Alligator mississippiensis: one gene and its partners. The protein of the gene in region 3 interacts with the protein of the main gene of each other region in a pairwise test. Links are inferred from orthologs where the notes say so. Each region holds a gene or a part of one and is shown on either strand. Other genes may lie near its edges.

Region 1 (7,103 bases), on a different chromosome or scaffold from region 3:
CGGGGGCGGGGTGCGGAGGCCGGACAAGAGAAGGAAACCCTTGTCCGGGCTGGGCTGGAGCTGGGGGTCCTTCCAGCCCCGCACACAACTGTCTCCCCAGGGCAGACACAGCGGAGCCGGTGAGCGCGGGGCGGCCGCCTGCCCCGGGACCCCTCTTGTTGCCCCCAGCCGGGCCCGGGCCCGGGTGCACGCAGGCGGCGCTGGTCCTTGCTCCAGGTTTTAGCAGCAGGAGCCGCCTGGGTCCCCGAGCGGGAGACAAGAAGGGCCCTGCCCGGGCAGGGAGGGGAGGGGAGGGGAGGCGAGCCCACCCGTGCGGGGAAGCCCCCCGCAGCAGCCGACCCAGACGTGCAGAGGCCGTGCCCCAGCGGGGTCAAAGCAGGCCGTGCGGCCCCACAGCCTGTGCCGCTGCCCCCGGGGCCCTGTGGGGGGGCTGGCTGCCCCGGGGCTCCCTTGTGAGGTGCTCAGTGCCAGGTGGAGGCGGCGGGTCAAGGGGCCAGGAGGAGGGGGGTTGCCAGAGCTGGGTGGTGGCGCACGGTGGTGGAGCGCTACCTTGGGGTTGTGGGTTCGAGTCCGGATGCGGGCACCTTGACTCTTTTAAGGCCTGGGGCGGCCGCCTGGTGCCTATTTGCTTGCGGGGCAGGCGGCGAGGCGAGTGAAGAGACCAGCGGGAAGGGGGGCTGTCAGGTTGGCCCTTTGGCAGGGTGGTTCAGGACACTGTCAGCGGTGGCAGGGGCTGCGGGTTCAAGTCCCTGAAGGCTTGAGTCCCCTGGCCGCCATCTACTACGCAACCGTTTCCCCCTCCGGCGCTTGCCTACTAGCTGGAGCTCAGGGGTGATCGCGGTTGCCAGTCGGAGGGGACTTGAATTCGCAGCTCAGTTGGAAAATGTCCTGAACCACCCGGTGGCTCGCCGGGTTTTTTTTTGCCTTGGTTTTGGGGCTGGGCTTCAAAGTGCAAAAAAAAACCCCTCTCCTCAACCACAGGTTCATTTCAGCTTCTCTGCCAGACCCCCTCCCCCCCACAGACCTCCCCACAACCCAGCACAGCCTCCTTGCAGGCACCTGGCCACAGGCACCAGGGGACTCACTGAGAGGCGAGGGGCCCCGAGAGCTCCAGCCAGGGCAGGGATTGAACCCAGCACCTTTGCCACCTAGGGTGGCACCCTTACCACCAGACTACTGGGGAAGGCTGAGAGCTATTCCGGCCGTGGGCCCCTTGAGGCGCAGCGCCCGGGCCCCGCCACTGGAAGAGAAAGGCACCTCCCTGCAAAACAGGGAGAGGCCGGGACCTGAACCCAGGACCTCAGCACCCACACTGAGAGGCCCAGCGCTGTGCACCACAGGACCAGGCTGGGGAGCCCTTCACGTCCGGGCCCCTTGACTCTTTCCCTGCGGACACGCGCTGGGCCCACTACAAAGGGAGCCCCGGGAAGGCGGCGGGCCCGGCCTGGCTTGTGACCTGGGGGTCAAGGCCCCGTCCTTTACAGGCAGGGCCCGTGGGTTTGATGCTGCACAGGGCCGGCATCCTCTGGGCCCAGCTCTCACTCTTGCTTCCCCCAGCGGTGCTTGCCCAGCCGCTGCAGGCCAAGGGCCATCATATTTGCCAAGCCGGAGAAGACTTGCTTGTTCATACTCCAGTCTGGAGACCTCGGACTCTGTTTACGGCCCTGGGAGCTGTTGGGATAAAGCAAGGCCGTGCAGCATGTGCCCCTGACCTGTGCGGACAGGTCTTCTCCGGCTGCTCAGCAGGGACCGCCGCGGGGTCCCAGCTCCCCGGCGAGCATGGCTAAGGGGGTGCAGAGAAGGGGGGGCTCAGAGGCCTCCAGCCACAAGGGAATCCGGACCCCCTGCCCCTGCTTCGCAGCACTGTGCCCCGGCCCCCCGGCTCTCGGGAAGACCTCTGCTGGCAGCCATCAGTGGCCCTGCAGAGCACGGCTATGTGGGGACCGAGGGAAGGCTGTCTGCCCAAAGACCGTCCCCAGGGCCTGGCTCAGACCGAGGTCGAGCTGCGGAGCTGCCACCGGGGCCCCAAAAGGCAAAGGGCCCTGAGCCGGGCGGCCACTGGGCAAAACGCAGACCAGCACCCCAGGGGTTGCAGCCCTTGGGGGGTGGGGGGAAGCACCTCTGGTGTCCTGGGAGAGGGGTGCCAGCGCCGCGCCTGCGAGCCCGCTCACTGCCCCAAGGAGCTTGTGCTGGGCGAAGGCGCAGGAGCGGCGCGAGGGGCCGGCCAGCGGCCCCCGCTGTGGGACACCCTCCTGCGCCCTGCACTGGGGCAGAGCCTTGCGCCAGCTGGGGCACGCCTGAGCCCGGGGGAGCGGCGCTCCCCGTCCGGTGGTGGCCACGAGCTCCTCGGCCCTCCTGGCAGGCCCAGGCCGGTGCTGGACCACGACCCGCCTGCAGCCCCCTCCTCCAGCCCCATGCGAGGCAGGAGCCTGCTGTCCTGGGCCTGGCCCCTCCGCCTGCCCCGACAGCCCGGGACTCCTGCCGGCAGCCGGGCCCTCCCTCTCAGGCGGGGGGGACGGGGACCCCCGGACCCGTGGCGCGCTGCACCCCGCCAGCTCCGGGGGTGCTTGCCCCGGGCAGAGGCAGGGCTTGCCGGGCTCGGCTCCGCTCGGTGAGGGGAGCTCCCTGCCCTGCCCGGCCCGGCCCAGCCTGCACCCCGGGGCGGCAGCACCCCACTCCACGCTGGGCCGAGCTGCGGTGCAGTGCTCCCCACCCGGGGGTGGCCACGAGCTCCTCGGCCCTCCTGGCAGGCCCTACCCGGTGCTGGACCACGGCCCCCCGCCGGGCGCGGGCTGGAGGCAGACCCACCTGCAGCCCCCTCCTCCAGCCCCGTCTGAGGCAGGAGCCTGCTGTCCTGGGCCTGGCCCCTCCGCCCCAAGGAGCCCTGCCCCCGCCCGCCCCGACAGCCCGGGACTCCGGCCGGCAGCCAAGCCCACAAGCTCCTCGGCCCTCCTGGCAGGCCCTGCGCGGTGCTGGACCACGACTCCCCCCCAGGCGCGGGCTGGAGGCAGACCCGCCTGCAGCACCCCTCTCTGCCAGGAGGAGCCTGCCTGCTGCAGGCAGCAGCTCTCTCCCAATGCCTTTTCCCCCCCGCAGCCCTGTAATGCAATCTGCACAACACGCCTGGGGGTGCACACGGGGAAGTGACTCCGAGTTGGGCCCAGTTGCCTGAGCAGTCAGAAGCACAACAAGGAACAGCCGGTGTCTTTTGGCCTGGCTGCTCCGAAAGACAAACCAGAGCTATGAGCCTTTCCCCGGGGAGCAGAGAGAATGAATCCGAGTTATTTCAGGACGCTGCGCGTTTGCCCAGGGGACGACAAAAGGGGGCTTATAATAGTTGCAGCAGAGCCTGGGACCGTGACCTTGTGCACGCTGACGTGACCGCACTGCGCTCTGGCACCCTACAGCCGGGCACCAGAACGTCCTTGAATCAAGCTGGAGCAATGCATGCTGGGACATGAGGGCGCCTTCAAGGGGTGCAAAGCATGCTGGGACATGCTGCCTCTATGACACTGCGCCAGACCCCAGGACATCTCCAAAAGGGCACAGAGCAGGCCGCACCAGCCGTCCTGTGCAAGCAGTGCATGCTGGGATATGCCCCCCTGTGCGCGCGCGCGCGCACACACACACACACACACACACACACACACACGTGTGCACGCAGAGGTTCAGCCTTGTCCCTGGGCCTCCAATGCATGCTGGGAAGCACTCTCCTCAGGGGTACAGACAGCCGACCGGATTGCGTCCGCAATGCATGCTGGGAACTGCCACCCTCATGGGCATGCACAAATGCTGGACAGGGCACTGTGCTGGCCCCGCAATGCATGCTGGGAAACGACTCCTGCACCACCCCCAGCAACCCCACGGCATGCTGAGAAATGCTACCTTCCAGGGGCCAGAGCTCACACTAGCGCAACATTTTCCTACAGTGCATGCTGGGAAATGCATTGGGCGTGCAATGCCGGCTGGGAAACAGGCGCAGCACGCTGGACTGGTCTTAGCCCTGGGCCCGCAATGGATGCTGGGAAATGGGAGCCTAGCCCCCCCCCCGCGTCATCCGCGCGCCGGACCCGCCATCTTGCTCACGCTGCAATGCATGCTGGGATATGCTCCCCGCTCCACAGAGGGGCTCAGCCGTTCCCTTAGGCCTGCAATGCATGCTGGGAAAGGGCAGCTCCACCCCGCCCTCAACAGCCGTCCCGCCATCTTGCGCGGCCCGCCATGCATGCAGGGAAGCACCAGCCCGCCCGCCCGCCCCCGGGCCGCAATGCATGCAGGGAAGCGCCCCTCCCCTGGGCCCGCAAGGCACGCCGGGATAGCGCCGCGGCGTACTTACCGTCTGGCGGGGCTGCAGCCGCCGGCTCAGCCCGCTGCATCCCGCCGGCCCGGCACCATAGCAACCGCCCGCGTCACCCCGGGGGGGGGCACTTCCGCCTCCACCGCGCCGGAGGTGACGTGCGCCGTCACGTGCTCCCGCTGTTAAAGGGGCAGCGCGGGGCGATGCTGGCGGCACTGCCCCGGGCCCTGGCGCGGCTCGCGGCGGCCGCCGGGCGGCGCTGTCCCCGCGCGGGCGCCGCCGTCACCTGGGCCGCGGGCCGGGGCCGGGGGGCGCGGCGGGGGGCGCCGGGCCTGGGCCTGGGTCTGCTGGCCGGTGAGCGCGGCGGGGGCACGGGGAGGGCAGGGGGCGGCGGGGGGTACAGGGGTGGGAATGGGGGGCCTGGCACTGCTCCGTGTCCAGCGCACGCCTCCCTGCAGCGTTCCCCCTGTTCTCGGAGGACGCCGGCGAGGCGGGCGCAGGGGCCGAGGACGCTGTGATAATCCTGCTGAAGGAAGCCAAGGTGGGAAGCGGGGGCGGGGCGGGGCGGGCGGGCGCCCTGGGGCTGGGGCAGGTGCAGGTGGTGGGGACGAGGCCGCGCGAGCTGCCGCGGTGCCGGTGTGCGTTCGCAGCTGCGCGTGGCGGCGGGCGACCTGGAGGAGGCGGAGCGGCTCCTGCACCGCGCGGCGCACCTGGCCCAGCAGTCGGAGCACAGGCAGGCCGTCGTCTACACCTACGCCATGGTACCGTACCCCCCCCCCCCGCTCGCTGCAGGGGCGCCCGCGGCACGGGGCGGCTCTCAGCGCCCGTCTGCCTCTCTCCTAGATGGCGAATCTGGCGCTGCTGCAGGGGCAGCTGGACAGCGTGAGTGAAGCCCTCCGGGGCGGGAGTGCAAAACGAGTCCGTGCGGGGACCGGAGACTTCAGCACCCCTCCCCACCCCGACGAGCCCAGAGCTGGCTCCTCACCGCGCACCTCCTCTCGTTGCAGGCGGAGAAACTCTTCAAAGCAGTGATAAGCCTCTTGCTGGCTGGGGACACTAAGCAGGTGAGTCCCCTGCCGCCCGCCGCACGGTTTCCTGCTCCGTATAGGGACATGGCTACCGCCCCCATCCCTACCTCTCTTGGGGCAGACAAACCTGCAGCCTCTTCCGCAGCCCGTGGACTGGTCCCTCTCCCTGTAGAGCCTGCAAGCTGCCTGTGCTGGGCCCGCAGCAACCTCCGCCCCCGCTCCAGCAGTGTCCACTGCCGGAAGCTGTGCCCCTGCCTCGTGCAGGACGCGACCTTGGCCTATGCCCTATAGGCGTGATCCCGAACGCCCTGGCTGCCGTGTCCATGCCCCTCTGGCTTCTCCCCTGGCAGGATGACAACGCGATCATCGAGATGTCGCTCAAGCTGGCCAGTATCTACGCTGCTCAGAACCAGTGAGTACGCGCCCCGGGCTGCAGCCTGCCCTATTCAGGGGCTCCGAGGCGTCCGTGATGGTTTGGGTCCAGGGAGAGTCTGGCCCCTGGGAAGGAGGTTGCTGCTGGCACAGCTCAGGGGGAAGCTTCAACTCTGGCTTCAGAGGCCGTGATGGCCTCGGTCTCATGACAGCAGGCTGGGCCTCTCTCTGGCTGCTGGGCCTGGGCAGCAGGCCAGCCCCAACTGCAGTCACCGGAGGAGGAGTCCCTGCAGAAGGTGACTTCAAAGAGACTAACGCACTGAATGTGCGCAGGCCAGAGGGACTTGGGTTTTAGCAGTTAGGATCGGAGCCAAGCAGTAGAGCACACCTGCCCTGCAACGCTATCTCCAGGGGTCCTGGAGCCCTTCACCAATTAGCTGAGCTGACCCAGAGCTGGTGCGCGGTGTTAGGGGCTGAAGCTGGGAGCAGGTGCTGTTTGCCCAGAGCCGTGACGCCTTTCTGGGGTCTCAGTGGGGGCGGGGATGAGATTGGGACGTGCTGCTCCGAGTGGGGGGTGGACTTGCTTTGCCAAAGGCTGACTTTTTTCCCCCCTCTGCTATGCAGAGACCAGCAGGCTATCACAGGCTACAAGTTCTGCATCCTGACCCTGGAGGAGAAAACAGCCACGCAGAAGGACTTGCCTGAAGACGTCCTCCCTGGTAGGCAGCTCCTAGGTGCTCGCTGTGGCCAGCGTGGTGCTGTGCCTGCCATGCACTTCCTTGCCTAATGCCTTCCAGCCACTGCCTGCCTTGGTGCCCAGACCCCCTCCCACTCTTGGCTGACAAGTCTTGTACTCAGTATTTCCCTGGGAGCAAGGGGCAGTACCTCAACTCATCTCTGTTCCGCTTGCAGCAAAGGAAAAAGCCAACACCCGCCTCCTGCTTGGATTATGCCTGGACTCCTACGGCCGCTACCTCCTCACCCGCAACCAGCCAGCTGTGGCCCAAATAATGTATGAGAAAGCCCTGCAGATCTCCAGGGACATCCAGGGAGAGACCCATCCACAGGTTAGCTGGGACCAACGGCTGCGATCAAGGGACGTGTGCTCACAACGGGATTGCCTTGGAGCTGGGCCTGCTCCCCTTGGGGCCGGGTTCCAGGATCAGGCTCTGCTCAGGCAGCCGAAGCCTGAGCATGAAAATGGTCCATGTGGGCGAGCCAGCACTGTTGTCATCTTGCAGAGGAGTCTGTCACTCTTGCCACAAGGGCAAATGCTCTGTGCCACTGTTCTGTTCCCTGCACTAATGCTTTCCTTGCTGTCTTGGTGCAGACGCTGATCCTGATGAGCGACTTGGCGACCGCGCTGGATGTGCAGGGACGCTATGACGAAGCATACACGTACGTGA
Region 2 (7,161 bases), on a different chromosome or scaffold from region 3:
CACCAGAGGTAAAAAAGCAGGTTAAGGCAAGGGAGTAGCTAATGTCCTGCCACTACACAGGTGCATGCTCATGAGATCCTAGGAAAAGCAGCATGGCCCATACCTGGAGAAGGCAAAACCCACAGAGTCCATGCCTGTAATGCGTGTGTCTTTGTGGTCAGGATGGAGTGCTTGTGTATGCAGCAAATGCCTGTAACATGTAGATGGGTGCACATCTGTGTGTGGGCAGGATGAGGTGTATGGCGTATGCAGTGTGAGGACCTGTCATGTGCAGACGTGTGTGTCTGTGAGATGAGGATGGAGTGTGTGTGTGTTTGTGTCGTGTATGGCATGTGAGTGCATGTTGTGTGCAAGTGTGCATGCCTGCGAGGTAAGGATGGAGTGTGTGTGTGTATGCACGTGTGTGTTGTGTAAAGAATGAGGGCACCTGTTGTAAGCAAGTATGTGCGCCTGTGAGATGAGGATAGTGTGTGTGTGTGTGTGGAATGTGGGTGCCTGTCATGTACAGGTGTGTGCATCTGTGAAGTGAAGCTGGAGCATGCCCACATGTGTGTACTGTAAGTGCCTGTGGTGTGCTGGTGTGTGTGTCTGTGAGATGAGGATAGAGTGTTTGTGTGTGGGGGTTTGTGCATGCGTGCATTGTGTATGGCGTATGAGCACCTGTTGTGCGCAGGTGTGTAGGTCTGTGAGGCAATGATGGAGTAGGTGCGTGCAGTGAGTCCTTGCTGTGTACAAGCATGTGCACCAAGGGATCCTGGGGGCTCAGGGACCCATTCTGCGTGGTCAGGCATGCCATGTGCCCTGCTGCAGCTCTCTGGCGTGATGGAGGACCTTTGTCTCTGTTTCATATCTCCGCATCCACAGAATGACAAACTTCCCTCTCTCCAGGTAATTCACTCTGCCTCCCAATCAGGCCCTGTGCTGCTCTGACAGATGGGATTATACTCAGCTCGCCTCCCTGCTGGCAGTGCGAAATATCAAGAGGGACATTAGTCTCCTTGCTTCTGACTTTCTCATCAGGGAGCGAGTGCTGATGCCCCAGAATTGATGTCCCATTTGATTTAATATACAGGACCTGACATGCAATTCAAATTGTTACATAGGGAACCTGGGACTGACCAGCTGGGGCTGTGCAGGGGGCGTGGAAGAAGGGTGCTGGAGTGTCACATCCTTCATCTCACCAAGGGAGAGGGTAGTATCCCTTTCAAAGCACTGGGACCTCTCTGCTGGGCCCAGGGTCTGCATGATAAGATGTTGCCCAAATCCAGGCCACACTGGCTTTTCCCTGGATTTGACCATATTACTTCTGTCTTTGGATTCAAGGCCCTGGTTTCTTGCCCAAAGGGGGAATCAAACACTTCACGTCCTGCCTCTTCCCTGCCTTCTCCCCCCACATCCTTTAATGCTTGTAACCAACTACCTGCTGCAAGAGGAGGCCAAACCTCACTGTGCTCTGGTGTGCCTGTCATCTATGCAGGAAGAGACAGGTTGCAGCCAGGTCTCTGCCTCTTGTCCATTAATCTCAAAGCACTTTACAAGGTCAATTAGCCATGCTTCTTTCAGAGCTGGGGGGAAACTGAGGCATGGAGGGGTAAAACAGCAGATTTAATGCTACATGGTAAATCAGCAGCAGAGCCTGGAATAAGCTCTGAGTCTAGAGCCAGTCATAATAATAAAGACACCTTGCTCTCGCAGGGGACTTTCCTCCCATAGATTTCAAGGCATTTTACAAAAGAGATGGCCATCATTATCCTCACTTTACAGATGGGGAAAGCACAGGGCAGAAGTAACTGGCTCTGATGACCCAACACACCCTGTTCTGGAACAGGGAGGAGAACCCAAGAGTTCGGATGCACAATCCCCTCGACGAACCACTCAAATCAGCAGGCCTGCATTAGTTTTGTGCACTGAGAAATAATTCAGCATAAAGGGGGTGAGTTAGCTGCCTCGGGTGATGAAAATAGTGTGGCCTCGGCAGCATGGAGCTCAGCAGAGACTAGCTGCCTGAGTATTTACCCAGGATCCTGAATGAATCTCTGCTGTTCTGCTGTGAGTAACCTGTTAGCAGCACCCTGACCAGCTAGGTAAAAGCTAGTTCAGATATGTGTATGTGTACTGTATATATATATATATACACATATATGTATACACACACACACACACACACACACACACATATATATATATATATATATATATATATATATATATATATACACATACACATCTGCTCATGTATGTATGTGAGCTACAGTCACCCCTTGACTCCAATGTAGATATACCCTGAATGGCCTTCCAGATGCGGGCACTTGAAGCAGTGCAGGGGGGGATGTGGCCCATCGATTTGAACAGGCTTCACATGGAGCGAGATGCTGTGCTGGGCGAGTAAGAGTTACAGCAGGGGTGGGCAAAATGTGGCCTGGGGGCCGGATGCAGCCTGCCAGGCCATTCTATCCAACCCGCGGGGCCCCTAAAAAAATTTAGAAAATTAATATTAATCTGCCCTGGGCTGTCATGTGGCCCTCGATGGCTTGCCAAAACTCAGTAAGCGGCCCTCTGCCCAAGATAATTGCCTGCCCCTGAGTTGCAGGGAAGCATGCGAGGAAGCCCTTGTGGCTCATCTGCATCTTTCAGGAGCTGAAGCCTCTATAAGCACAAGCAACAGCACCAACCTAATAACCCTGAATATGATTTATTTAGCCACCCACCGAAAGGTTTCTGAAAAGGATAGAGTGTGTGTGTGTGTGTGTGTTCCTGTTCATGTCCATGCTCGGGAGACCTAACAAGTCATGGCAATTCATCACGCATGAGTTTTTCATGCGAACCTGTTGGGGGGTTTCTTTAACACACCTCATTCCAAGCCTTCACATATGTATTATTAGCAGAACAACAAGCAGCAAGGGTCTCAGTTCGGATCTACACCTGTACAGCTTCAGGTCTGCTTAGCACTGCAGCTATTCAAAGCCACGTTGCGTAGGGAGCGTGAAATGATCACACCTCTTAGGTGACAGTTATGCTGGCAACTTCCCCGGCAGCTACGTAAAGCTATGTCAGCAGGAAGGATGTAATGCAATAAAGCACCTAAGCCCAGCTCTATAGATTCTGGATCTGATTCACCATCACCACATAACTCGCGTCATCAACGCCAGCAAACGTAAAACATGACCTTGCAGCATTTTACGCCCACCTTACAGCAGTGTCACTGAGTGATGACACAGTATGTAGGATAACAGAGGATTGGCATGGGGGAGAGACTCAGAAGGCACATCCCTCATCTCATCTTTTTCTGCTGAGGGATCTCAGAGTCCAGTCATTTCTGAGCTACTTCTGGCTGGCTGAGGGCTTAGATGGCTTGCCCTGCAAACAGCACACATGTGCTACTCCCTTCTGGAGCAGCCATGAATCTGCGCATGGCGTGGAAACTGCTCTTAGCTTGGACATGCTTGTGTTGGTGCTGCCCACTGCCAGCCTGCTGTGCTTGGAAAGGTCTTCATGGACTGGATTTCTCTGGGTGCACACTTCCAGCCACAGGAGCACTGGTGTTTGGGCTGAAAGTCAGGCTGGGCTGCGCACTGGATATGATCGCCTACATGCCAGCTGTGGATATTGTGCAAATGATGCACAATGTGCTGGTGCAGGATGTGGATTTAGTGCCCTCCAGTGGGGAATACAGGAAGGGCCACAGCCACGTCCCTTCTGTACTGTGCCTATTCCTCTGTCACACAGCTAATTAAAAAGTAGACAGTAACAAATAGCTGCCATGTCCTGGGGAGACGACTTACATGGGATCTAAAGGGGAGTTGGGTGGGGATGTAAAGGTGGCACTGGCAGCTTGGACAACGGCGGTTGCTTTTCCAGGGCCAAGCAAGTGTTCAGAGCCACTGCTGCAGAGGAAAGCAAAGCACTCATGTGTTATTCCCTGGTGCAAAGCAGTGACCAGGAGAAAGAAAACTTCCTGTTGTCTAACACAGTCCCCTGCCCCCCCTCCCCCCATTGCAGTACAGCAGCTTATCCTAGGATGCAGAACAAGGACTCAAGGAAGTGAGGAGTCACGGCTCTGATTCAGCTGTGAATCAAGGCCACAGCCTGGGCGGCAACCTGGGTGCAGTTTGATGGCCCTGCATAGGCACCAACTTTGGGTTTTGCCGGTGGACGCTTGCAGCCATAGCAAAACAAAATGGTAATTCACTTTAAACTCGGCGCGTTCCTGTGCTGAGCCCAGAAGAGGCAACGCAGCATTACTTCAACCCGGCTCTGCAACATCGATGAAGACTGGGCACTTTAGTGGCGCTTTTTGTATCTAATAGCTGATTGAATTGGCTTTAGCTACAAGTGTCAAAACGCCCTGCTGAAGCGCTCAGTCTTTACTGATGCTGCAGAGCCGGGTTGAAGTAACATGCTACCTCTTTCGGTAAAGCGTGGGGGGCTGGGGTCCTTTTTAACATCGGCAAGCAGGAAATGGCTGTGGCTCTTGGGTGCTGAGCACCCACTCATATTTTTCAGTGGGTGCTTTTGCCCCAGAGCACCCACGGAGTCGGCGCCTACACAGGCTTCGCCCCTGGATGAAGGCAGCCAGGCCGCGCGGAGCTTTTGGGCTCCTCTTCCTCAGAGCGGGGTCAGCTGCTCCCCGCCCCCAGCTCCCCAACCCTGGCACCCCCAGCCCTGGAGGGGAGGCGCAGCTCTCTGGACTCAGTACACCTCTCAGTGCACCCCTCACTGGATTCACTGCACCCCTCACTGGTCTGCCTCAATGCACCCTCATTCGACTCCATGCACGTCCGCTGGACTCCATTTCCCACGCTCCAGCCTCAGTTCCAGCAGCACGGCTGGCAAATCCCGCCCTCTACACCTTTCGCGTTACGGGGAATCTTGAGGCTCCGCAGCACCCGTCCGGCAGCTCCAGCGCTTATCACGTGACGGGCGGCAGCTGAGCGGGGCGGAAGTGACCGAGCCTGTGGCGCCATGGAGGGGGCCCTGGAGCAGCACCTGGAGGACACGTGCGTGCGGGGCCGGGGCCGGGGCCGGGGGCGAGGCGGGTCGGGGCCGGGCGAGTGACCGAGCTGTGGCTTTGCCCCGCAGGATGAAGAACCCGTCCGTCGTGGGCGTGCTGTGCACGGACTCGCAAGGGCTGAACCTGGGCTGTGAGTACCCCCCCCCCCCCGTTTCCATAAGGCGCCTGGCTCGTGCCAGGGGGCAGATGCTTGCCCTGCCCGCCAGCCCCGTGCTGGGCAGGGAAACCCCGCCCCAGACCCAGCACCAGCCCCGCGGGCTCGCTCCGTTTGGCATCCTGCTTCTAGCCCGAGCACCTGCATCTCCCAGGAGATCTGACCCTACTAAAGCACAAGTATCTTCAGACCCAACTCAGGTGGGGGAGGGGGAGCGTGGGCGCGTTGGCCAGCACTTCTTTAAGCAGCTCTCAGATCATTTTGGGTGTCCTTGAGATGTTGCGGAAGACGGCCGAGTTCGGGAAGACATTCGGCTGAAGTACAAAGCAGGTGTGATTGGCGATTGCTGTCGAGACACTTGTTTTGGTGAACTTGGATACAGATCTCTCTCGTGCCCTGCAGGTCGCGGGACGCTTTCTGATGAACACGCAGGGGTGATCTCAGTTCTGGCTCAGCAGGCAGCCAAGTTAACTTCAGACCCCACTGATATCCCTGTGGTGTGTCTGGAATCGGATCATGGGTGAGTGTCTGGGTGTCCATCCTTGTTGCTGTTTTTTTTTTATTTTTCCTCCTTGGTTTGCTCGAACGCTTCTGGGACTGGGATCTTAGAACTGCCTCCTTCATCTCCAGGTGGCTTTTAAGTTTTGTGTGTCGCCGCTTGGAAGGAGGTACAGGGCGAGAGGCACCTCCTGCAGGGCCTGCGCCAAGGGAACATCGAGAGACTGTTCCTGTCCTTTCTCTTGAGTTTATCCAGGGATTGTTTGTTAGGAATTGGGGGGGGGGGGGGGGGTCTCAAATGAGCATCTTCTGAGACTGCGAGAGACCCATGTGTCCTTACAATCACTGGATGCTCATTTGAGATGCACCCCCCATTCCTGTTTCTAACTGTACTGCTGGCTTTTTGGAAGTGGTTAGAATGACCAGCTAGTGTCACTTTTGCATTGTATTTATGACTACCGAAGCAATGCTATGGTGCTTATGTTCCTGTTTATAATCAATTTTTACAAAGGAAGTTAGGTAGACAGACTTGCCTTCACAGCCCACCTAAACACTCCAAGGTACTTCCAAACTTTGAATTGCAAGGAGACTCTTGGAAATGTTATGTATCCTACAATGATGTAATTAGTAAAGATGGCAAGCCAAGTATTTCTTTCATTAGATCTTATGTGTAATCTTGCCTCTGACACGCCACGGCATATGCTAAACCTAAAGGCATTTCTAGCACTGGTTTTGAGATGAGCTACTAGTCTTGGAAAATTCTAACTGTTTAAATATTTGCTGTTTCAGGAACATCATGATCAAGAAGCACGATGGCATCACTGTAGCAGTGCACAAACTGGCATCTTGACCTTTCACCAGTCTGCTTGGTTGTTTCGACACCCTTGCAACAACTTCTGCTTGTTGGACTCCTACCTCCCTCTGTAATATAGCATGTGCTTGTAAAACTACACGTGGGCCAACTATTAAATGCTTGGTAACTTTCCTGTGTGTTTAGACTGCTACTGTATATCGGTCAGCATCTTTAATTTCCAGCACATTACAGGACATGTACTGTCAAGTGTAAAATGAGGTTTCACTTATTTTGCTTCTGTAATGAAAAGGTATAGTATGTGGCCTTACATCATTTATTCATTTATCCAATGAGTGAGAACACATGCAGTGAGTTCAACACTTCAGTTGGTAGGTGAAGTGGAAGTACACCACTATCTAACACTTTAGAGAAAGACAGAAGCTTAGGAGTCACTATTCCTTCCTTTCAGGGAAGGTTACTTCCTGCTTATTAGCAGTCCCTCAACTTTTTGGGAAGATAAGTTCTGTTTTCTGTACCTTAGGGGGTGGCGGGGAAATCAAACTCATTCAGGCTGCCTTTTGACACCAAAGTCAAAAAAGCACATGCCCCATTCTTCAAGTCCCTTTACAGGAAACCTTTAATCTTGTCTAGTTAAAGGCAGACAGCTTTGTTGTATTGGAAACATCTTGGATTAAAGTTTAACTT
Region 3 (6,959 bases):
CCACCCCCCCTGCCCTGACTCTTGGGGGAGCTGGGACCACCCTGTCTTCACTGCCGTCCCTGCTCTAAATCCCCTTGGGGGTGCAGGGGGATCCCGAGTCATCACTGTGGGCAGCCTGGCTGGGCCCATACAGCCAGCCCTGCCCGCCACCAGCTCCCGTTAGATCTTGGCCCCCCTGTTGCCTGGGCTCCACAGTGCCCTGCAGCCCCTGCTCTGACCTCTGCCACCCTCGCTGTGTTGCCCTCTCCAGGACCGGCTCATTGTCCTCGACGTCGGTGATGACTTTCTCTCTGCGGCCCGGCGCTATTACCCACTGGAGGAAGACAAGGCCCCCCACAGTGAGGAGGAGCCCCTCAGTGAGGAGGCCATCTTGGTGACGCTAAGCCCAGGGCCTGAGCTGCCCAAGGAGGTGGAGGAGGAAGAAGAGGAGGAGGAGGAGATGGCTGAGGAGGTGGATGAAGACACCCTGCTGGCCAAGCTGATGGAGTGAGGCCTGTGTGTGGGCAGCAGTGGGCATTATGGCTGAGGCTGAGAGCTGTCACCTCAGCTCCTACTGTGGCAGGGTGCCTGGCAAGGAGTGGTGAGCGCCCCTCCAGCTGCAAAGGGGCCAGATGGCAGCTCAGACCCTCTCCTGCCCTCTCCCCATGCACAGATTCCCCCCGCACAATGATCCCCCCTCCCAGCCCTGCAGATCCCAATTTTGTGGTTGTCAGTCAGCAGGTGCTGGGGGGGAGGGAGGGAAGAGCATGACCACCTTGCACTTTCCCATCCTGCTAAATTGGAGAGTGGGAGAGCTCCTTGGAAACTGGGAGGTGGTTGCCCAGGGTGCTTGTTGGTTGGAGAAGGTTAGGATCTCCCCACCCAGCCTTCCTCCAGCACAGCCAAACCCGTCAAAAAATTCAGTGCAACAGGTTCACTCCTGGCCCCTGCTAGCACTGAAATGCAGCTACTTCTGGGGTGGAATGAGCCAGCTGGCTGTCAATAGCTGTTTTGGAAGTGAAGAACATCTTAGCCAGGGTGCAGCAGTGACCGGATAAAAGCTTTGAACCTTCCTTTCTTGTTGGTGTTGATTCTTTGGGTTATCAGCAGTCAGCAGCCCCAGTCCAAGCCAAAACGGCCTGTAGTGACTTGTACTGGTGTTACTGGGAGCAGAGGTGGAGACTCTGCTCTTATATGGGAGAGGTCGTTCTGCCAGTGACCTGCAGCTTGCAGGAGGCCTTGCCCCATTCCTGAAGCATAATGATAGGTGTTACCTGCAAGGGACAGTCACACCCATGAAGTAGGATAGGTGACTGCAGCTGGACTAAGGGCTGGTACATGTATTGAACTGGACAAGGTGGAGGCAGGCACTGTTCTATTAAGCTACCTAAAGTGGTAAGGTTTGCTGGTTCCCCAGGTCTGCTGTTCACACCAGGAAAATAATCCCTGGGGGTTTTATTCCTGAGTTTTTCATCATTTCTCCAGGGGAACTCATGGCTTTTTTAGATGCCAAATCAATCACCTGTCCCTACCTCTACCTCTACCATGACAGTCCTTTCCCAGCCGCCTTCTCTTGCCCTCCACCCATCTGCCCCAACTCTGCCATTTCTTACTAAGGCAGCTCCTTGAATCTTCTGGCCCTGGTTTGTGTCCTTCCCCACCAAAGTTATGCCAAGGCTGTTCTGGGTTCAGTCCGCCTCCCAGCTCAGTCCATGCCCTTTCCGGCCGACCCAGGTGTCTGCCTACTCTCCTCTTCTGGGGCTATAGAGCTTTGCAGTACAGCCGTCCTGCCTCTGATACCCCCTTTGCTATATTTCCCACACCTGTTGTATCTTGTCAGTAAACCTCAGCTGTGAGGGTTCAAAGAGGGTATTGGAGCCATCCACTGCCCATGTGCATAAAGAGCCTGGAAAAAGCTCGCCTTCCTACCCCCCATCCCTTCACATTTCCTCTCACTGGAGCCCAACAGGGATTAGCCACAGAAAAGGCCCAGGAGCAAATGGAACCAGAGGGGCAGCCAGAGCTGGCAGCAACGCTATAGGCTGGCATCAGTTGATGTCTCCGAACCAGGGGATTTAGATGGGCTCAGTTCTAATCAGCCTGCCCCCTCTCCGTACACTCCACCCCCCACCCCACTCATCTTGGCTCCAGGGACCTGTTAGCAGTTAACAAGTCTCTAAATCAGTTTGTTTACTGTCCCCTCATCTCCCTCGATTGCTGCCAATGCAACTAGAGTTTCAAAGCAAAAGACTCCCTTACTAGGCTGTGGCTGGATTGCGCGGGGGATTGGGGGGGCATTCTACACAGCTCTGCTATAGGTCTCTGTGATGAGGGCAGTGTGTGTTGGGGGGGCATTGCCTGCTTGGTTTAGCAGCAATGGGGGGGGGGGGGGGGTCCTCTATTTTGGCAAGGGAAGGGGGGACACTATCTGGAAGGCAGCCAGTTGAGATCACAAACAGCAGCTTGCCCCCCCTGGCCTGAGAAAAGTCATTCATGCTGTGGGCAAGAGCCTCGGGAAGCAGGCTGGGCCGCAGCCCTTGGGCCACAAAGCAGCTGTGAGATCAGGAGGAGGTGGAGGGGGCAGATGAGGCCAGGCTGGGCACCAACCACTTGGCAAAGGGGTCCTTCCTGAGGGCACTGGGAATTGAGAAGAGGCAGAGTCTGCTCAGCTGGGTGCTTATCATGTTCCCCAGCCCTGTGGTCAATGTGACACTGTGCCTGACCCAGCTCAGCTACAGATGGCCCTCAGCTCCAGTCCGGTCCTGCTTAACAAGGTGCATTAGCTGGCCTGTCCTTGCCACAACCCCTCTGGCTCCTAGTTCCACCCCCACCCCCCGCATGTCAGAGCTGGGCACGGGGCTCTTCATGTAGTGGCCAGGAGCTGAATGGCCCCTGTGAGTATGAGCCCAGGTGCTGCTCCATCCAGCTGCTGAGCTGTGGGACTTTTACTTGGCTCAGCACCATGGAGCTCAGCTCTCAATGCCCTTGCTTCTTATTAACAGCAGGGACAGGCTGGGGGAATGTGGAGGATGCATGAACTGAGATCCCACCATGCCAGCACCCTGCCAGCCTGTCCCAGTTCCACCTCTCCCTCCACAGGCAGGTGCACATGGTCATGTGTGTGCTTACGGGCAGGGTTTACCTTATGGCAGTAGGTTCTGCATGGGCCCCACTCTTGACCAGAAAGCCTAGGGCTGAAATGGATGGCTGCCAGTTGCACTGCTGATGTGCTCAGCATTGTTCCCTGGGGACCTCTGAGGGAAGAGCCTGGAATTGAGGTGGCAGCTGCCTCTGCACAGGGGATGGGATGTAATTTAGCACCACTTTGTAGGGAAAGGGCCAGCCAGTGGCCTTGTTATATAATCAGGCTTTCAGGCAGGTCTTGGAATTCTTTTACCCCATGAATGGAAAATCAGCTGATGGGCTGGGCCAGTCAGTGGGTGCATTTCCATAGGGATCAGCCTGCAGTCCATGGGATCAAAGGGGATTTTGGAAGCACAAGTGCAGCAACAGCTGCCCTGCACCCTCCAGCATTCATTCACATGCACTGCTTTCACACTGTCCTCCCAACCTTGGTTGGGGTTTGGACATGGCAGCCTGATGGCTTTGACCTGTGAGGGGAGTGACAGGGGCAGACAGGGTTACGGGGATCAAGCATCTTCTCCTGACAAACATTGTTTGCACTCCCATTTTGGTGTTGAGGGAGGAGCTGGGATCTGCCCCATGGATGGCCTGTGCCAGGGCAGTGGAAAGCAGAAATCCTGGGCAGCTAGGGCAACACTGGGCCTGGGAGTGAGTGGGGTCTGGGCCTGGGGTCAAGCAGGGCTGTTAACAGAATGGCTGGTGTTCTGGGCTAACCCAGGTGTTCCTGATGGATGGCATCAAGGGGTCAGTGAGTGCCAGGCAGTGAGGACATCCCTGGTCCATGCTCCAGCCCTGCTGGAGGGAAGGGACCCATGTGGGACTGCTGTCTACCCCAACTCATGGGATAGGAGAGGTGCAGAGAAAATGTCTAGGAGCAGGAACTTGCTGGAATCTTCCCACAGACCAGTGTGACACACACACAGCCACATGCACACACACACACACATATGCAGGCATGCATCATCACACATTTCCCCCAAGCACCTGCTCGTGCCAAGGGGGCCTTGGCTTCAGTCCATGCAACATGTACATGCTGTGCCAGTGACACCTCCTGAAATAGCAGTGGGGAGGCTATATATGCCCAGCCTGGGCAGCCAAATCCCACAGGCTGAGGCACACACACACCTGCCAGAGGAGCCGGCTCTGGACACAGCCATGTTTGGCAAGAGCGTGGTGCTGCGTAGTGCAGGGCTGCTGTCGGCAGCTGAGCTGGGCTGCCTGGTGCAGGAGGAGGACATGGGACGGAAGGAGTCCTTCCAGGCCGAGTGGAAGGACCTGTCGCTCTCCACCAGGCCCGAAGAGGGGTGAGTGATGATGATGAAGCAGGCTCCCCAGGTTTGGGGGGTGGGCACCAGCATTGCTGCAGCCCCTTCTTGGCCAAAGGCATCTTGCCAACAGGGCTGAAGGGAAGCCTGGGACCCTTTGTGGAAATGGGGCCAAGGGTCCTGGAGCAATGTGTGGCCCTGCCTCAGCCCCTCCAAGGTGCCCAGATAGTCACAGGCAGAGGGTCATGGCCCCTGGGCAGAGCAGTGCCCAGTGCTCAGCATCTCCCCCAGCCCATCCCCCTGTGTCTGCCTCTTTCCCCTTGTTCCTTGGCAGGCCTTTGGCCTCTCCCCACTCCAGGAGGTGCACCACCTCCCAAGTGGGAGGGGGAATGGGGAGGGTCATATCCAGTTTGGCCCCATCTCCCTGCCCCAGCACAGCTCTGCCACCTGCTCAGCTGGGGGCAGAAAGGATCTAAGTGTCTGCTCCTTCCCTGGCACTGACAGTCACCACTTTGGGTCCTGGGACTTGTCTGGGCTCCCTGGCTTGGGGAAGTGTGTGTGTGTGGGGGGGGGGGGGGGGGCATGCCCCGCTGGGCTGTGCCCACAGCTCCCTAATGCTGCCCCCTCCCCTCAGCTGCTCCCGGCAGGAGGTGGATGACCAGCACAAGGAGACATTCTGGCAGCAGCAGGAGACGCGCATCGTGGTGCAGCGGTCACCTTGGCAGGTGCTACGGCTGGGCCGCCTGGGTGAACCCCTGGCCCAGTACCACCTGCCATCCCAGCAGGTCCTGCCCCTGCCCATCTTCATGCCAACAGACCTGAGTGCCAAGGCCGAGCGGATGGCCACCCCTCCCCAGCTGCATGATATGCTGGACTTCGAGGCGGCGCTGGCCAGGGGTACCCAGGCCAATGGGCTTTGCCCAGACAAGACGGCCGTGGCCGAGATCACCAAGGAGCTGCCTCCTGTCATCCCACCCAGCCGGCCCAGCTTTGGCAAGGGTGGCCTGCCCCGCTCCCTGTCCCGCTCCCTGTCCCAGGAGGCCCAAAGGGGCTGAGGATCTGGTACATAGACTTTCCTTTAGGGCTCTGTTTTCCCAGTTTATGGCTCCCTCTGCATGAGAAATTCCCACACGCCCTAGTGTGCTGGGACACATGGTTATTAGACAGGCCCGTTGTGGGGCAAATCCATCCCTAGTGTGAGCTCAGTGAGGCTATGCCATGGCTGCATTAGGCTTGTTGAGTTAGACTGTATGCTCTTTGGGGCAGGGACCATGCCAAGTTTGTCTGACACCTTGCATGCCAATGATTGCTCATATAATCAGGCTGTCTCTTTAAAGACTGTCTTCCTGGAGGGGTTGTCAATCAGCTGTCACAATGGCTGATAGATTTAGCTTCATGGAGCAGGGGACCTTTCCAAGAGACATTACTGCTCTTGGGCCCCCAGCTAGGTGAGGGCTAGTGTTTGGAGCAGTTGATTGCAAGCCTGGACAGTGAGAGGAGTGTGTGTTGGTATCTGGAGCCGGGGGAAGCTGGGAATTGGGACCCTTGGGTTCTAGTCTCAGCCTGGTGAAGGCAATACAGGCTAATGGCTAGAGCAGGTGCCTGAGTCAGAAGAGAGTGAGTGGCTGTTGGGAAGGGTGTGCTGTCCAGTAGTTGGAGAGGCTGATAGGACTCCTTTTCCCTGCTGTGCTCCTGACCTGCTGTGTCACTAGGATCACCTTCCCCTTCCTAAACTGGAGCCTTTCTTTTGGATGGAGTGAATTCCCCTGGGCAGAACAGAGGCTGCTTTTACTGCCGTAGGGTGGGGTAGCTAAGGGTACTGGAGGAGGTCAAAGGGTTCAGAGGTAGGGGTGAGCTGGGATACAGGGCTCACTGCAGCACTAAGGAGAGAGGCTCCAGAGGGCAGAAAGTGAGTGAGCTTGGTGCTCCTTCCAGCAGCTTTTGATTCTGGGGAGGAACCTGCTGCACATGTCTCTGTTGTTCATTGTTTTCCCCTGTTTCCATCCAGGATCACATTCTATGAGTCTCATTGAATAATAAAATAAGAAAAGGCTGAGTGAGTCCTTCTGTTTCACTGTGGGACCTGCTCTGGGTTGGGGACACACCCCAGAAGGATCAAAACCCAGGCAGGCCAGGCAAACACTTCCAGCAACTGGCCCCTTTGCCACTGGGACTTCATGCACAGAGGCAGGACATGGGTGTCTTAGGAGTGGGGAACCCAGAACTTCCCCTGGGGAACCTGACCCCCTCCCCCTTAGCTGAACAGCAGCAAATGTTGAGACTCTGCCACCTCCTTCCTGCCACTGGGGGGAGGAATCAGCAAGGTGGACTCTGAGTAGTTCCTTGGTGTGTCTTGCTTGTGTTTACTATATGGACCATCCTAGTCTCAGCATACAAGCCAGCCACTGGGCCAGCAGTCTTAGCCTACACACACACCTGGCTTCCAGGGAGAAACTCAACCCCTAGAACTGACTTCACTCAGAGATGAAGGAAGAAAGCAAACTCCCACTGCTGGCTACAGCACCCCACTGGGGGATGTGCATCACAGACTGACAACCCAGCAGTTCTGCA
Region 4 (6,925 bases), on a different chromosome or scaffold from region 3:
TTAAAAGCTATGTCAACAAAGCAAGCATATCTGTTACACTGCAAAACAGGGCTTCTTCAGTAATTTTCAGTATGAGTCAGCAACACAGATGACATTCCTTGGGTAACGGCAGGTATATGATTATATAAGGTATAATGGCATGTATATGATTAAGTTATCACTGTCCCTCCAAAATAACACCAATGTATTATGTATTTATTTGTTTCCTGCACTAGTGCCTCAAGCTCCAGTCACGATGGGATCTGAGTGATGCTTGGTAGTTAAATGCACGATGCATCTGCACGTGCTGATTTAAGGCACATTAGCCATGTTTAAGGAGCATTAGGCAAATGTACATTAAGTTTAGGCATGTGTAAAAGGTAGGCCATTCCACCATGACAACAAGTGGTCTCCCCTCACTATTGTGAGGGTCAGGCAGGGGAATGGGTTTCCTCTGGGAACCAGTGAGAACCCAGGAAGGACAGAAAGGCTCAAACCTCCCTCTCGGTATTGGTTCTTCTATTCAAGCTGATGAGGCAGGCACTAGCAAGGAGCAGAGGCATGACAGGGCAGCTCCGCACCCTGAGCAGCTGCAATGCATAGAGCAGCACCTGCTGCAGTAGTTCCAATGGTGGTGGCACAGTCAGCCATTGCAGGAGTGGTGGCTATTTTTGCACTCCCCACAAAGTCCGCTCCCAGGGCTGCAGGCCTGGTCACCCTTCTCAGTTACGCTACTAGCAGGGAGAGAGATGGATTGCAGGACCATCAGTTAATGCTGCAGAAGTCTGGCTCTTCCTCTTCTCCTCCCATTTGCTGCTGGAGGAAGAAGATAGTTGTGTGGACTAGGTGGTGCATCCTTCATGTGCTCCTTGGGAGGAAAGACTCTTGCAACATTTACCACAACCCTAGCACCAGTGGGCACATGTACAGTGGGAAGGCTTCCTGAGACCACATCTCCTATGTCATCATCAGCCATGTCATTCAGGGATGTGAACAGAAGATTGTGATCCCTGACTGACTTATAGCTATCACAAGTTCCTAGTGTAGATGAAGCTACATTGGCAAAACCTCAGCTTTACTGGGATGGCTGGTTTGTCCCAAATGGAAAAAAGTCATTTTACTAAACTAGTGGTACAAAGCTCAGCTGGTGAATATAAGCTGTGTCTACAATAGGAATGTTTTGCTGTTGTCATATCCCAGAATTCCTCTAGTAGCATAGTTCTCCTGGGATGGATGTAGCCTGGATATTTTAATAAGCAGGGCTGGCCCTGGTAAATAGTCACAGCCTATACTGCAAAGATGTTGCTACTATACCTATTGCTGTACACAGCTTTACTCCCAGATGGGATAAGCTATGCTGACAAAAGAACTGTGTCAGCTAAGGGTGTGGTTTTTCACACTCCAAACAAATGTAATGATGCCAGCAAGACTATGTAATGTAGACCCTGGCTATAGGCACAGGTTTCTGCCATCTTTTATCTATTACTACATAACTGATTTTTGTCATAAGTCCAGCACTGTGCACAGAGCCAGCCTGCCAATCTTAGGGAGGAGAAACTGCTAGAGAATCCTGTGGAAATATGCACTCTGAACTAAATGCATTTCACCTAAAGATATGCAGAAGGGTCATCCTTGGATTCCTGGTGCAGAAATGGAGTCAGTCCATTTCCTTAATCATTGACCTCTTGGCTGAAATTCTCGTTAACAACGTGAAAGGGATACTGTCCAGAACCTCAACCACATAGTTACATTTCTACTAGAAGAATTCCATACTCATATTCTTCACTGGTAACCTATAGCTTACTGCTACTATAAATATTTTCACTTCGTTATACTGACATTCAAGCAAATTCTGGTTATACTCACTGGTTCATAAATCTCCACCATTTAGTAGCCCCGTCATTTCGGCTAGCTTGCTCCCATTCAGTGGTGTATAGACATTTCAATACATTGACACTTCTGTTCTTCAACTTTCTTTCTCAGATGTTTCCCATTCTCTGCCTTATTTTATAGAGAGGAAGTACATGCCTAGTCATCTCAGTAGAGCAAAAGCCATTTTCTTTCACTCTCTGGTTTAAAGCTAGCTTGCAGTGCAAGGGTGGGACATGGAAGAGAAGGCAATTGAAGTCTGTCAGGGGAGGAAATAGGGAGTTCACATTCCTCAGTGCATTAAAGTCATTACTGCCCCTGTCCACAAATGAAAAAGAAAGAAGAGATGCATCTCCCCTATTGCCAAAAAAAGATTCTCTTCAGCTCCTCCTCCTCTTTGAGCCAGAAATCTCAGCTGTTCCCTGTTCAGCTGCCCAAACAGCTTCCCCTTTACAACATCTGAGGTCTTGTCTACATGAGAAACTTACCCACTTTCACTCAAAATCTGGTTTTAAACTGATGTGGTTAAACTGTGCAAATTTCACACATGCACAAGACCTTTGCCAGATGTATACATCTGGGGTGAGAAATCCTGTCCTCACGGATTTCAGTGGGATGAGGATTTCACCCATGCAGTGAAAAAATATGCAGCGCACTGAAAATCAAGAGCAGACTAAATTTAATGTGAGTCAATTATATTGCATTCAAAGTGTATTATTCATTTTCATATGAAAGTCAGTAATAACCATCTTTTAATCCCTGTAATCCGCTGCCAAATTTCTAAATTGGTGCTTCCTACAAACCAGAGGACCTTGCTATTGAATTTAGATCCATCTTTCCCCAAAGCACATGCAGTGTTTGTTAATGATACTTGTTTTGCACTTATCTATCCAAAACACTTTTCAAGCATTAACTACTGTAAACACAAGGGCCTTCCCTTCTGCAAGGTACATTACTGGTAAATTATTCTATATTGCACTAATTACTTTTATAGTCAAATAAAACTGATGATTATATATTACATGTACAGTATGAAGCAGACAGTAAGCAACTGCTTACTGTATGTGTGGGGGTTTGAGTTTAAATTTGTGGACAGGATATTTATTGCTTGTACAGTTGTGTGCTAAATTATTGGCAAATAGAAGCACAGATGGCTTTGCCCTAAGATCAGGCAGCACATGCCAGAAATTATCTGGGAAATTGTCATTTTAAAAATAACTTTAGAACAAGTGCCAAGTTCTGAGAGATCTCTGTGTCGAATAAACAGATATAAACACAACACTGTCCAAAGCTAAAATATATTTGGATTATACCATGGAAAGCAGGAACAATTAACATTTATTCTCTGCCAGTAAAAATGAAATCTTTCCATATTTCTTTTGTGTGCTTTTAATCAGGAAATAGAATCCATGCTACATTTTTGTGCATTCTTTAACTGCTTTGGAAAAAATGGACCAAATACTCATGCTCCAGTTTCCTAAAATTCAGTTGCAAGTTAAAGCACAATTCTAGTCAAGTGATTTTTAATTAGTTCTTTAAAGTTTTATGTTTAGGTTCTGATTTTTTTCTGAAGGGAAGTACATCTTCATCTCACTGATTTCTCTTGTTCTAAAAGTCAGACTTTTTTAGTTTATTAACATGTACAAGTAAAGATATTGTAAAAAATCTACAGTTAGGTAAATTTGCAGTGTGTTCAGTTTATACTGTTCATTACTTTCTAGTAACTGAGCAATGATTGTTACAGTATATTGCTACTCCTGATGGCATTCTTTTCTTTTAATAGGAAGCAGTATTTTGTTATTTGGGCCATACAATTTCACTGCCATGGAGAGATAAGAACAAACTAGATGACATTTTACCATACCGTTTAAAACTTGTCCTTTGCTAAGGGGTGGGCTAGGGCTGCCATGTGTCAGTGACAAGCCTCAGCTCCTCTCTCACCTCCCTCCACCTCCTTCTCTTTCTGAGACAGGAATGTTGATCTCTCATCCCTGTTATCTGTCACCTGTCTGAATCTGTCCTCATGTCACTTGCTTATATGGACAAGTTAGAATGGCAACTTCTGACGCTGTGCTGCTAAAAACAGCCTCAGCTCCCGTCAGCCTATCTTTTAAACAATATCCTCCAGCAAGAGAAACTCAAACAACATTTGATCACACGAGCCTTGGAATTATTTCAAGGGAACTAACCCGGAAACTGACCAGTAGCCCCCTTATTCTGAACTTATGCACCTTGGAATAGCTAGGGATGAGCACCTCTTTGAATTACAAGTCCTTTTCCAAAGAGCAGCAAACCATGGATAACCTGGAGAAACAGCTTATTTGCCCCATCTGTTTAGAGATGTTTTCTAAGCCTGTGGTCATCCTTCCCTGTCAGCATAACCTGTGTAGAAAATGCGCCAGCGATATTTTCCAGGTAGGTTCATTTCAGCATAAAGATCTGCCAGCCTAAGTTCAAATAGCACTTGCTCAAGGTAAAGAGAAGAGCAACATTTTACAAGATTGGCTTATTTACTGTTAATGATTGGCAAGCGTTTAAAAAGGCATAAGTAAAAGCAGAACATAGAAAACTTCTTTGATGTGTGGCTTCCTTTGCATAGAGACCTCTGTGGTTTGGACTATATAAATTGTTATATGATTTTCTTACATACAGTGATCACAGAGCCATGGCAACTGTTCTGATCTGGCCCATTGTCTTTTGAATTTTGTTGGGTTCCTGACATTTATTTACTTATACTAAATTCATTTTCAGCATTTACATACATTTAATTATGAATTGGTTTGTTTAACTATTATCTTTTTGCTATCTTTGTATCTCCAGGCAGATTGCTACAGTATTATTAGTCAGTAGGCACCAAGTGAAATAACATTACCATACATATTTCTTTTGGGTTTTTTAGCCAAAAATCCCCAGTTAGGTTAGTAAAGAATTATTGGGCCTAATCCAAAATTTGTTGGAATCATGGGATTCTTTTCATTGACCTCACTGGTTTTGGACTAGGCGTTAAATAGGGGGCTTCAGTAGCATAAGAGGGTGGGGGGGGACTGAGGTAGCTGCTCTGAGCACTGCCTTGGAGGGACAGCAGTGCAAAAATAGTCATGCTACAACATCAGCTGAACACCCCACCACCACTGGAATGGTGGTGCTGCCCTGTGCTTTGTGGCTGTCACAGATGTGTTACTACATCTCTGGGTGGCTGGATGTATGTCTTGTGTTCTGAACATTAAGGCTATTACCAGAACAATTGCAGAGTGTTTTAAGAAGGTGTGCATGGCCTTATTCACCTATAATTTTATTGCTTGGCAAGAACAGGCCTCCAATCCATACCTCACAACCAGAGGAGGCACCACAGTGGCTTCAGGTGGTCGATTTCGATGTCCCTCATGTAGACATGAAGTAGTTCTGGACAGACATGGTGTGTATGGACTTCAAAGGAACCTTCTGGTGGAAAATATCATTGACATTTATAAGCAGGAGTCTACCAGGTAACATACTCATTTGTATCCTTAGCAGAATGCTGACAGTACAAGCTGACGAAGCTTATGATTGTGGAAGGTTCTCCCTTCCTTTCTTGCCTTTGTTTTATAAGTTGTTGGATATATTTAGTTATTTTAGCTTTTGGAGATGGTAGAGTTATCCTGTTGCGAAAATGACATATCATACGTGCTTCTGTGTTTACTGTAGAATAAAGTCAACTCTTATTTATTTTATATCACTTGACCAAAAGCAGTGTTCAAGTAGGTGTTGAGCTTTTGCTTCTAGTGCTTATTCATATAAGTAATACTTAGTCATGGACACAGAGTTCTGGAAGTCAATCTGATTAATCATATGAATTAGGACAGAAGGATCTGGTCCATAACTTTATCTTATAAACTTTTCAAACCCATATGTTCCACAGCTTGTCTTCAGGCATGTACTCCTATGTTAATAAAATGTTGGCACTTGCTGGAAAGCCCTGAGGGACAATTGAAGCAAAAACAAATACATCTGAATTATATTCGGAAGCCAGCTCGCATCATAATAAATTGAATCATCAATATTTAAAAAAAGCATGCCTGTCAGCATAGGATGTGAACTCATGAAATCAAGTCTTATTTAGGACTCACTTTCTGTATAGAAGAGACTGAAAATGCCAAAAATAACAGTTCATGACAATGCTGTGTAGCTATGTATGGGAAAGCCAAAATTCTAGAGGAGAAGAATGGGTTAACCCTAACAAGTGAGATTAATCGTAAATTACAGTCACTCACGGCATATATACATACATGAGTAATCTACAGGATAATATCATTGTTATTTTTGTTATCAAATGATAGGTTGGGAGGGTGCTGATACTTAATGGATTGCAGAGCTCAGAGCTTAGGAAAGAAAATCTAAATAGTGGACCTGATCCTGTAACTTGTGCCAATCACATAATCCTTCCTTACAGAAGCAGTTCCACTGACTTCATTACAAGTGAGGGCTTGTTTATAGCAGTGGTTCTCAACCTCGTTAGACTCAAGGCACCCCTCAAAAAAAGCCAGCCTTGTTTTCACTGTTTGTTTTTTTTATTACAGAAAAATAATAAGGCAACTCTTTTGTTGCAAACAACTCAGAAAGGCCACAAAAGGCCAGAATGTTTTTGATACTATAGGTTCCTATTTGAAATCTCTGGGTTTATCTTGTGAATCATGTGTAGATGCTTGTGTATTGTGCGGCACCCTTAGGCACCCTTTAAAGGATGTCACAACACCCCTGCTGCCAAATCCCTAGGGTGCTATGGTACCCTTGTTGGGAATCACTGTTTTACAGGAACGGTTCTATGTTGAATATCACTTTTAGAAGCAGGTCGACAAGACATTGAGGCCTCTTGCTACCAGTCATCTTACAAATTGTTTTGTCAGGCAGGAACTCTCAGCTAGACCACAAAGAATACTAGCTAAGGATACCACACACCCAGCAGGTTAGTCGAATCTTTGTCAGATATGTATGAGACATGCAAAATGGACACTGCCCCTTGGCCAGAAAACAAAAGAACAAAGGAACCCACAGTTGCAGGGAGTCCTCTCTCTTTAGCACAAAAGGACTCTCTTCAGCA

Evidence for each region.
Region 1: the proteins of TCAP (region 3) and TTC19 interact in binary tests that used the Homo sapiens proteins (3 or more experiments, as listed by UniProt). The link is inferred for Alligator mississippiensis from reciprocal best matches to the Homo sapiens genes TCAP and TTC19.
Region 2: the proteins of TCAP (region 3) and LAMTOR5 interact in binary tests that used the Homo sapiens proteins (3 or more experiments, as listed by UniProt). The link is inferred for Alligator mississippiensis from reciprocal best matches to the Homo sapiens genes TCAP and LAMTOR5.
Region 4: the proteins of TCAP (region 3) and TRIM55 interact in a two-hybrid assay, tested with the Homo sapiens proteins (2 studies listed by BioGRID and IntAct). The link is inferred for Alligator mississippiensis from reciprocal best matches to the Homo sapiens genes TCAP and TRIM55.

Annotation. Positions count from the first base shown.
Region 1 is NC_081837.1:2,085,447-2,092,549, forward strand, and holds the start of TTC19 (tetratricopeptide repeat protein 19, mitochondrial), read left to right. Parts: upstream 1-4,090; 5' UTR 4,091-4,221; coding exon 4,222-4,651; intron 4,652-4,755; coding exon 4,756-4,838; intron 4,839-4,947; coding exon 4,948-5,058; intron 5,059-5,140; coding exon 5,141-5,179; intron 5,180-5,304; coding exon 5,305-5,361; intron 5,362-5,675; coding exon 5,676-5,737; intron 5,738-6,321; coding exon 6,322-6,416; intron 6,417-6,609; coding exon 6,610-6,764; intron 6,765-7,027; coding exon 7,028-7,103. UniProt on the Homo sapiens protein: Required for the preservation of the structural and functional integrity of mitochondrial respiratory complex III by allowing the physiological turnover of the Rieske protein UQCRFS1.
Region 2 is NC_081837.1:34,933,778-34,940,938, reverse strand, and holds LAMTOR5 (ragulator complex protein LAMTOR5), read left to right. Parts: upstream 1-4,891; 5' UTR 4,892-4,962; coding exon 4,963-4,997; intron 4,998-5,079; coding exon 5,080-5,141; intron 5,142-5,567; coding exon 5,568-5,685; intron 5,686-6,452; coding exon 6,453-6,513; 3' UTR 6,514-6,647; downstream 6,648-7,161. UniProt on the Homo sapiens protein: As part of the Ragulator complex it is involved in amino acid sensing and activation of mTORC1, a signaling complex promoting cell growth in response to growth factors, energy levels, and amino acids.
Region 3 is NC_081827.1:165,413,150-165,420,108, reverse strand, and holds TCAP (telethonin), read left to right. Parts: upstream 1-4,207; 5' UTR 4,208-4,278; coding exon 4,279-4,427; intron 4,428-5,022; coding exon 5,023-5,443; 3' UTR 5,444-6,441; downstream 6,442-6,959. Other genes in the region: melanoregulin, read left to right, coding at 251-490. UniProt on the Homo sapiens protein: Muscle assembly regulating factor. Mediates the antiparallel assembly of titin (TTN) molecules at the sarcomeric Z-disk.
Region 4 is NC_081826.1:64,419,734-64,426,658, reverse strand, and holds the start of TRIM55 (tripartite motif-containing protein 55), read left to right. Parts: upstream 1-3,903; 5' UTR 3,904-4,095; coding exon 4,096-4,263; intron 4,264-5,160; coding exon 5,161-5,333; intron 5,334-6,925. UniProt on the Homo sapiens protein: E3 ubiquitin ligase that plays an important role in regulating cardiac development and contractility, muscle growth, metabolism, and fiber-type differentiation.